2 linked regions of the Oryza sativa Japonica Group genome follow. The protein of the gene in region 1 interacts with the protein of each later gene in a pairwise test. Links are inferred from orthologs where the notes say so. Each region holds a gene or a part of one and is shown on either strand. Other genes may lie near its edges.

What was found.
Region 2: the proteins of cell division topological specificity factor homolog, chloroplastic (region 1) and septum site-determining protein minD homolog, chloroplastic interact in binary tests that used the Arabidopsis thaliana proteins (3 or more experiments, as listed by UniProt). The link is inferred for Oryza sativa Japonica Group from reciprocal best matches to the Arabidopsis thaliana genes MINE1 and MIND.

Annotation. Positions count from the first base shown.
Region 1 is NC_089046.1:19,400,175-19,404,427, forward strand, and holds cell division topological specificity factor homolog, chloroplastic, read right to left. Parts: upstream 2,884-4,253; 5' UTR 2,820-2,883; coding exon 2,703-2,819; intron 1,344-2,702; coding exon 750-1,343; 3' UTR 502-749; downstream 1-501. UniProt on the Arabidopsis thaliana protein: Acts as a topological specificity factor during plastid division and specify plastid constriction sites (such as the Z-ring) in a MCD1-dependent manner. Especially involved in epidermal plastids division in a FTSZ1-dependent manner.
Region 2 is NC_089040.1:565,776-569,825, forward strand, and holds septum site-determining protein minD homolog, chloroplastic, read left to right. Parts: upstream 1-1,186; 5' UTR 1,187-1,274; coding exon 1,275-1,758; intron 1,759-2,614; coding exon 2,615-3,051; 3' UTR 3,052-3,250; downstream 3,251-4,050. Other genes in the region: uncharacterized protein, read right to left, coding at 3,889-4,012. UniProt on the Arabidopsis thaliana protein: Together with ARC3 and MCD1, regulates FtsZ ring positioning in chloroplasts in an ARC6-dependent manner. Calcium-dependent ATPase required for the correct placement of the plastid division site. Inhibits FtsZ filament and ring formation in the plastid.

The sequences.
Region 1 (4,253 bases):
TACCATGTTCTTGGCAGCTGGCCTCTCTGTCCCAACCACGAAACATCTGGCAGGAACCATCTAACTAATTAAGCTTCTCATTCCTTTCGGTGTTTATTCTTCGAAAGAATTGGCGCAGCAACATTGCGTTCACTTTATCTTTGAGCATTTGGAAGATATCTATGCTCCATAGAATGTACCATTTTTTTCTGACCCCAAGGTTCTAGACTAATGGCAGACCTGCTTGAGCGGCCAGAATTCAGGATGGATCTACCACAAGTCCACAAACTAGAAATTTAGTTCAGCCGGTGTATCAATATTTGATCAACCGTGACAAATGCTAGTATCAGATATGTGTTCTGCAGTATGAAGATCGGATGATTATTAACTAAATCACATTACAAAACTGGGGCATGGCAGAACATGGTGTAGTCGTGATATGCATCAGGTGATGATTGATTTAATCACATTACAAAATTGGGACATGGCAGAACATAGTGTATCTGGCAAAACATCAGCACGAGCGCACAACGTTATTTTCTTATAAATAAACATTTCTTCGGAAAATCCAAGTTGGACTAACCCCACGGTACTGATATTTGCCACCTTCAGAACAAAAATTCAAAATAAAATTACATGAAACGCAGAGACAAACAAAAGCCTAGATATGTACATTAGACTAACCAAGATTGCGAAGAAAGCCTTCAACAAATTGAACATTCTAACCAAGGAGTTCTGGGATACTCGGAAGCAAAAGGGGAATACAACGGTCAGTAGTTCTTGTTGGGCACGAAGAAATCGAACGTAACGTCGACGCTGCCTGATGTTTCTCCAGTGTCCTTGAAGTCAACACCTACGATCTTCCCTCTGTACTGCTCTTCAGATTCCTGGTACTCAGGCTTGACACGGCGAACAGGAACGGTCACAGAATATACTGTGCCAAGGCCAGCATCAGTTGAGATATCCACCTGGACGTTGTCTCGTGATTCTATCTCCACGAATTCAGAGAGTGCCTCAACGATGTTCTCAACAATCTTCTTCTTTGCCTCGTCACTCACTTCACACCTGTCGGAGAACAGTATCATCTTAAGCCTCTGCTTTGCGATGTTTGCATTAGAGTTCTCCTTAATGCTTGGTGCTGGGAAGATTATCTTCCATGCTAATTTCAGACGATCAAGAAACCCCATGTTAACAATGTTGTGAAGAAAGCCTTCCACCTCTTGAGCAATAGGAGAGAAGTCATTCCTTGAAAGAGCAAAAGTCTGAATGGAGCTCTTTGAACAGCTTTGGTGCTCAATGCCTAGATGCTTAGGAGTAAGCATGATGTTGCAAGATCGTCCACGAGGAAATGAACTAAACTGTGCCTACAGAAGTAGAGGTAAAGTCGTTAGCTAATAATCCACTGAAATATGCTATTCCATAGAAAAAAAACAACTCTATGATGCAAAGAATATCCAATGTGAATGCAATCTAAAGCTGAGAATTATATGCAACTACACATTCAAGAATCAAGACAAACCAGAAATTTTCATTAGATTATGATTTTCAACCATTACGGAGAAGTTCAAACAAGGTTACTCCAAAGAGTTTACAATAGGAAAAGAAACATGGTACGCGTGTGTGAATGCACTATATGCTTTGCCAAAATTCAAGTTCGGCATCACTACCAGTACCAGTGTCAATCCAAGCAGGATCTGTTAGCACATTAAACAATTCAAGAAGAGTCTTTGCTACAATAGTCTCAGCAGCATATCTATGAAAATAATAGTGGAGTTAGCACATTTGGTCGCTTCATTCCAAAAGTCATCCAATATTAAATTGAGCAGAACCAGAACAGCACAAGAGCATGGTAGAATGATACACACTTTTGAGTTGTTATTAAGCATTTGAAACAGTTACCATTCAGAAACCAACCAAACAAAAACTTTATAATTTGCTCAGAACTCCTATAGGCAAGAATGGGACAAGCAACTAATGTGCTATCCTGACCTACTGTAATATGACTAATACTCATCTCAGGAGGTATAAAACAAAGGTTATTTAAGACTGAGATATAGAAAGATAGGCTGTATGCCAAATCCTAAATAAGAACATTGTCATTTCCAGTTCACACCCATATTTGACAACACAGTTAGGTTTTCACTCTCTTCAAACATCTAATATTAACTCATAACAGCAGATGTGCTTCGAAAACATTTGACTACACGAGACACCCAGGCCAGCATTTTGTGTCTACACCTAGCAATTACACTTGCTTGTACGCTAACACAAACTAGACCAGAGGTCGCAAATGTATAGCTGCGTCTTCCGCAGCTTTACATATCAAATTTCACAGCTTGACTAATATCTAAATCCCAACAGTTCCTCGTGAACCTCGCGACAGACCAGAATCAGAGCACACCAAAACCGCCGCTTTGGTAACGAATTCTAGTATTCTACAGCACTAGATCCAAGAGGATGTTGGAATCGAGAACGCTCAACATGAAAAATCTCCTCTCTCATTATTTTTTTCTCCTCCCCATTCCCCACCCCCACCCCCAAAACGAGGTGCAGCGGCACAATCTTTTGTTCCTTCAAAAAACAAAAAGAGGTACGAATCTATCATCTCATCTTCATCAGCGCGCAGGGATCCGAGATGGCATCCGGCCACGGGGAGACCCAACCTCCTCCATCTTATCTAGGGTTTTGGGGGGAGGGGAAAGAAGAAGAGATGGAGACCGGACCTTGGAGCTGGTGGCGGGGTTGCGCCGGCGCGGGGCGGGGAGGACGGAGGCGGACGGGGCGAGCACCGCGCCGGGCTCGCCGCCGAAGCCGGCGGAGATCGACGTCGCCATTGCCATGGCAGCTAGGGTTTGGTCTCCAGTGAGTCTCTGCTCCACTCTTGGTTGGACTTGGGATGGGAATGGAATTGGAAAGGTGGTGGCGTAGTGGTCACCTCAACTGGGGTACAACCGACAGTGGGGCCCACTGGTCAGTCTCACGTGTGGCCCTGGCTGGACGGAGAACAGTAGGTGGCTAGTACTCCCTCCGTCCCGGTTTAGCTGTCGCTGGGGTGTAGAGTTTGTCCCAGAAAGAGGATCGTTTAGGCGTAGGGCAGCTAGCAGGCTAGCCACTAGTATGAGTACTTCTATTAATTTTCTTCCCCATGCTGGTTGCAGACATATCAGAATGACAGGCGCAGTACTAGTTTTGTGTTAATTTTTAAGCATTGAAATGATTAATGTAGGGGCACGTTGGTCATTTTTCCAGCACCATATTTTGTCATCTCTTTCCTAGAACGACTAGTAAACTGGGACAGAGGGAGTACTTGGCGTACTTGCATATTTTTCCTATAGGAGAAAACACATTTTGTGCTAAGAATATACAAAACGATAAAAATATGGCGTTAGTTTTTTCTTTACAAATATGTTATTTTTGGTCCATCTGATCCAAATTAAGATTCATACCAGGTCCTAGTGAAACAAAATTAAAGCGTGCAAGCGCAAGGAATCGAGCTCAAGACCTTCTGGTTGGTAAACATCATGTGTTCGTCATGCAATCAAGCTGCCGTTTTTGAATTGAAACTAAATTTACATTCTACTTGTTGGAGATGAACCAAATCATTTCAATGTGCAAACTACAATTCACTAACCAGCAAACATATTTCACAAAATTAACCCTTCATCTTCGCATGAACTTTGAGAATTGTTTCAACTAGCAAATCAACAGCGTACCTACAACAAACACATGCACACAAGACACGGTGATTTACGTGAAAAAACCTTCTCAGTGTAAGGAATGAAAAACCACGGGACAAAATGGTTCACTCCAAGCTTCCACTATAATCAACAATAAGTACGATTCGAGTCTTCTCTAGAACATTTAGAGGCACATTACAACAGCAGTTATACCATCAAGTTACATACTTGTCAATCATCAACATCAACCATAACAACTAACAAGAGTTATAACAATAACAAGCAGAGAAATATCAGATTCTGTCCTCTTCGGTTCTCAACTAACATCTCCCAAACCATATATGCGAGTTACATGAAACTTGGTAGAAATGATGGTTTATGAGTCCCTTCCAAGCTGTCCAAAAACAGCCCAATCGGACACTGTTTGATCCCTCAAACTGACATCTACTAAATGATGCACAAGCTGAAACTATAGTCACTCGAGCTAACAAACCACTACTCAAATCCGGTGCTCTACTCAACCAATTCTCACACAAACTGTCTAGATTGAAGTCCTCAAAGTGAGGAACGAACTCACCAAATTTGGTGCCAAACCAA
Region 2 (4,050 bases), on another chromosome or scaffold:
TGCTGTACTTGCGTCAAATAGTACTCTTTACCCATGCCATACCGCTATGTACCTGTGTCAATGAGCTTGGGTTAGCGTTTACCATCAATACAATCGTTTGGCTGCGATAAGGTACCTGATGATTCACTGGTGGTGGGGGTTGGTTGCATTTGCATATAAATATGGAGAAGTTATGAATGGGTTGGTGATCTGGAGTGATCTGTTGTGAAAGTGGGGAACCCAACGAATATTGGGTGAGGTCCATCACCGTAGCAGCCACCTCTGCATTGTGTCTGTCTGCCTGCCTATCTGTTGTTTTCAGTTTCTGTATAAATACTATTCTGCAAAAGAAAGTACCAGATTGACAGACACATTTGGAAGTGTTTCCCTGGCCTCACCTTTTCTTTTAGCTACAGTAGCATTTTATGTTTAATTTAGTTTCTAGGATAAAATGCTATCCATGTAACGATTCTCTGGTATTTAAGCATTTACCCCCTCCGTTTTCAAAAAAAAAAAAGAGACCAATCCTACCAATGAACCTTGATTCGTAGCTAGGAATTTGTTTTTTTTTAACGGAGTAGTAGTTCAGGATAAGGAGTCGCCGCAGAAAGATCAACCACTCAGAACATGACATGTTAGAAAAATAGTGTATAACATTGGTATTTTCCTATACTAAGCTATCTGTTTTTTTAACCAAACAATTTATATCAATCCTTCTTTTAATATATGACTTTTGCAAATATATGATTTTTGCACGTATGTATGTAATTACCATTTATTTTGCTAGGATTTGTTCTTTTACAAAATTTTTAACAAAATTATATATCTATACTAAACAGTTGTGGTGGAGTAGTCACTACCACTGACATGCGATGCCATTGTAGGGGGCTTTCACCCATTTTCCTGATTCCCTCCTTCGAATGGTAAAAAAAAAACATTTAAAATAGGACAGAGGGAGTACAATGTATGATGATTTATTTTCTTCTACTCGTATATATGCAAAATTCAATGGTAACATTTTTCAAATTAAATAAATCTAGAATAGGATATCATGTTATTCTAAGTTGGTTTATTTTAGAATATATTATAAGTGGGTTTATTTTGGTAGGGAGCAAACAATTCATGGGCTTAAAATGTTGGGAAGTTTCTCATTTCTAGGCCTAAACGATGCTAGTACTAGGCAAGTAGAGTAGCAGCCAAAGCGGACACCGCTACCACCTCCACTACCCACCTTCCTTCCTTCCTGAGGATCTCCGCTTGAAGAGAAGAGAACCCCAACCCTAACCCTAACTCCAATGGCGTTCGCCCCGCGCCTCCTCCTACCTTCCCGGTGCCCCCCGCCGGCCTCCTCCCCCGCGCGCCACGGCGGCCGCACCGCGCCTGAGCTGTCCGGTCCCACCCCGCGCGTGGTGGTGGTCACCTCCGGCAAGGGCGGCGTGGGTAAGACCACCACCACGGCCAATCTCGCCGCCTCCCTCGCACGCCTCTCCCTCTCCGCCGTCGCCGTCGACGCCGACGCGGGCCTGCGCAATCTGGACCTCCTCCTCGGCCTCGAGAACCGCGTCCACCTCACCGCCGCCGACGTGCTCGCTGGGGACTGCCGCCTCGACCAGGCCCTCGTCCGCCACCGCGCGCTCCATGACCTGCAGCTGCTCTGCCTCTCCAAGCCCCGCTCCAAGCTGCCCCTCGCCTTCGGCTCCAAGACCCTCACCTGGGTCGCTGACGCGCTTCGCCGCGCCGCCAACCCACCCGCTTTCATCCTCATCGACTGCCCTGCAGGTCAGTCCGCCCCACCACCATTTCCATCAACTTATGATGATGGATGTTATATGCCACTCGATTTGCTTTAACGCAATTAATAATTGTGATGTTTATCTTGTTCTCGCTTGCCCATCCCTATCTATTGCCCAGAATTGTAACTTTAAGAGCCATGATGCAAGTCAAACTTTTTATGATGCCAGTGCATAACCGTGATGCAACTTATATTCTCAAAGTCAATCCATTTATGCATATTACCTATTTTCTATTTTAGATTTTAGAGCCATATCAAGTTATCCTTTGATCATTGTAACTTAAGATTTTGTTTTCTTACCTGCCACATATAGGTGTTGTTTAGGCCAGGCATCAGTTTGTTTAATTTGGTTGTGAGCTGTAAATTTCAACCCCACTGATTGAGTGATTGACCATCCATAACTAACTGCAGCATAATTCTGTCATGTCAATATATAATTATGAACCTTCACCTTTTAGTGCTGGTCTGTTAAGTGAAAATGTTGCAAGACTTAGCTTTATCCTTTGCTTAGGACATGGCACCGGTGAAATGGTAATAGGTTCCTTTTGGCTTTGTAATCACTGGTTAAACGTCTATTACATTTCCTTAATGAAATGGGAATGTCATCCTCTCTTTCTTAAAAAAGAAGGAACCTTCTCCTTTTCTATCTCTATAGTGCTGTATTCACTATCCCATGTTCACAGATAATAAGTTAGAGCACTGCAATTGTCACCACTGATTTGATCAATTCCAGTGCCACAAATATTATCTGCAGTTGCCTGATAATAATGTTAGATTATAACCAGTTATATATGCATCCACATATGTTATGCCAGATTGCTTAAATCAGATTTTTCTTTGTAGGTGTTGATGCAGGGTTTGTCACTGCTATTGCCCCTGCAGAAGAGGCCGTGCTTGTTACTACCCCTGACATTACGGCTCTCCGTGATGCTGACCGTGTTGCAGGGCTATTGGAGTGTGACGGCATCAAAGACATTAAGATTATTGTCAACCGAGTACGCCCAGACCTGGTGAAGGGAGAGGATATGATGTCAGCACTTGATGTTCAAGAAATGCTTGGCTTGCCTTTGCTAGGTGTTGTGCCAGAGGACGCGGAGGTGATCCGGAGTACAAATAGAGGTGTGCCGTTGGTTCTGAACGACCCACCCACACCAGCTGGTCTTGCTCTGGAGCAGGCGACTTGGCGGTTGGTGGAAAGAGATGCAATGACAGCAGTTATGGTAGAGGAGCAGGAGAGGCCCAAGAAGAAAGCTGGGTTCTTTTCATTCTTTGGTGGGTAATTTGCTGTGAGATTAATGAGCTCAGTGTAGGCAGTGTGTACAGATTTGCGTTTTGGAGCTACGATTGTTTTTCCCATTTCTTTTGCTTTGTTATAGTGTAGAATGATTCATCCGTTGTGCTTAAATCCATAGACTGGAGTATTTTGCCTTGTTTGCTCAGTACATAAGTAATTTACGAAGATATGTTTTGGTGCTTCTAGTCTTGGATCTGGTTTTACGTCAGAATTAAGCAAGAATGGAGATGCTCGTTTTTGTCGTCAGAATCAAACCGTATAGTTGTCGAGTTGAATGCTTCCATAGTTCCATTGATTTTAAACTGTATACTGTTCGGTTTGACGCCAATTACTTTATAATGTTTCCCTTAAAATTTTTCTGTCTTCGAGGACTAGGTCTGGTTGATTTCTTTGACATTTTGCCAGACCTTTGCTATCTCGGCAATTTGATAAATGGTAGCCACATCATAACAAGGTAAATTTTGTATCACGACATCAAACTCAACTGGAACACTCCGAAATCTTTTGATGATTGTTGAATATTTTCTTATCAATAAGTTACAGCTAGCAGTCTAGCATTACCATCATGTATATCTGGCTTGAGGACACGTATAAAAGGTAAAGTTGAATTAAAACAATTCATAAGCTTAGCCACCAAGCAAATAATACACAAGCATAGATTTTTTTTCCATTTTTAGTGGAAAAATGTGCCATCCAGATTAAGCAGATGTTACAGTTGTGTCATATATAGATCTTCCACTCAAATTACAGAAACAGAAACACAGCGATCTCAGACAGAGACAGGCAGGCCGTGAAGGCCAGGGAACAGCGTACAACGGCAGCATCACTTCATGTACCTCTGCAGAAACTTACGGTGGAAATCACTTCTGATAGTGTCGTTGATGAAACGTTTCGGTGTCTTGGTCTCTCCACGAGCCTGGTTCTTGAATACAACATCATCATCCCACCTGCAGAAAAAAAAAATAGGATAGAAATAAGTTCATCA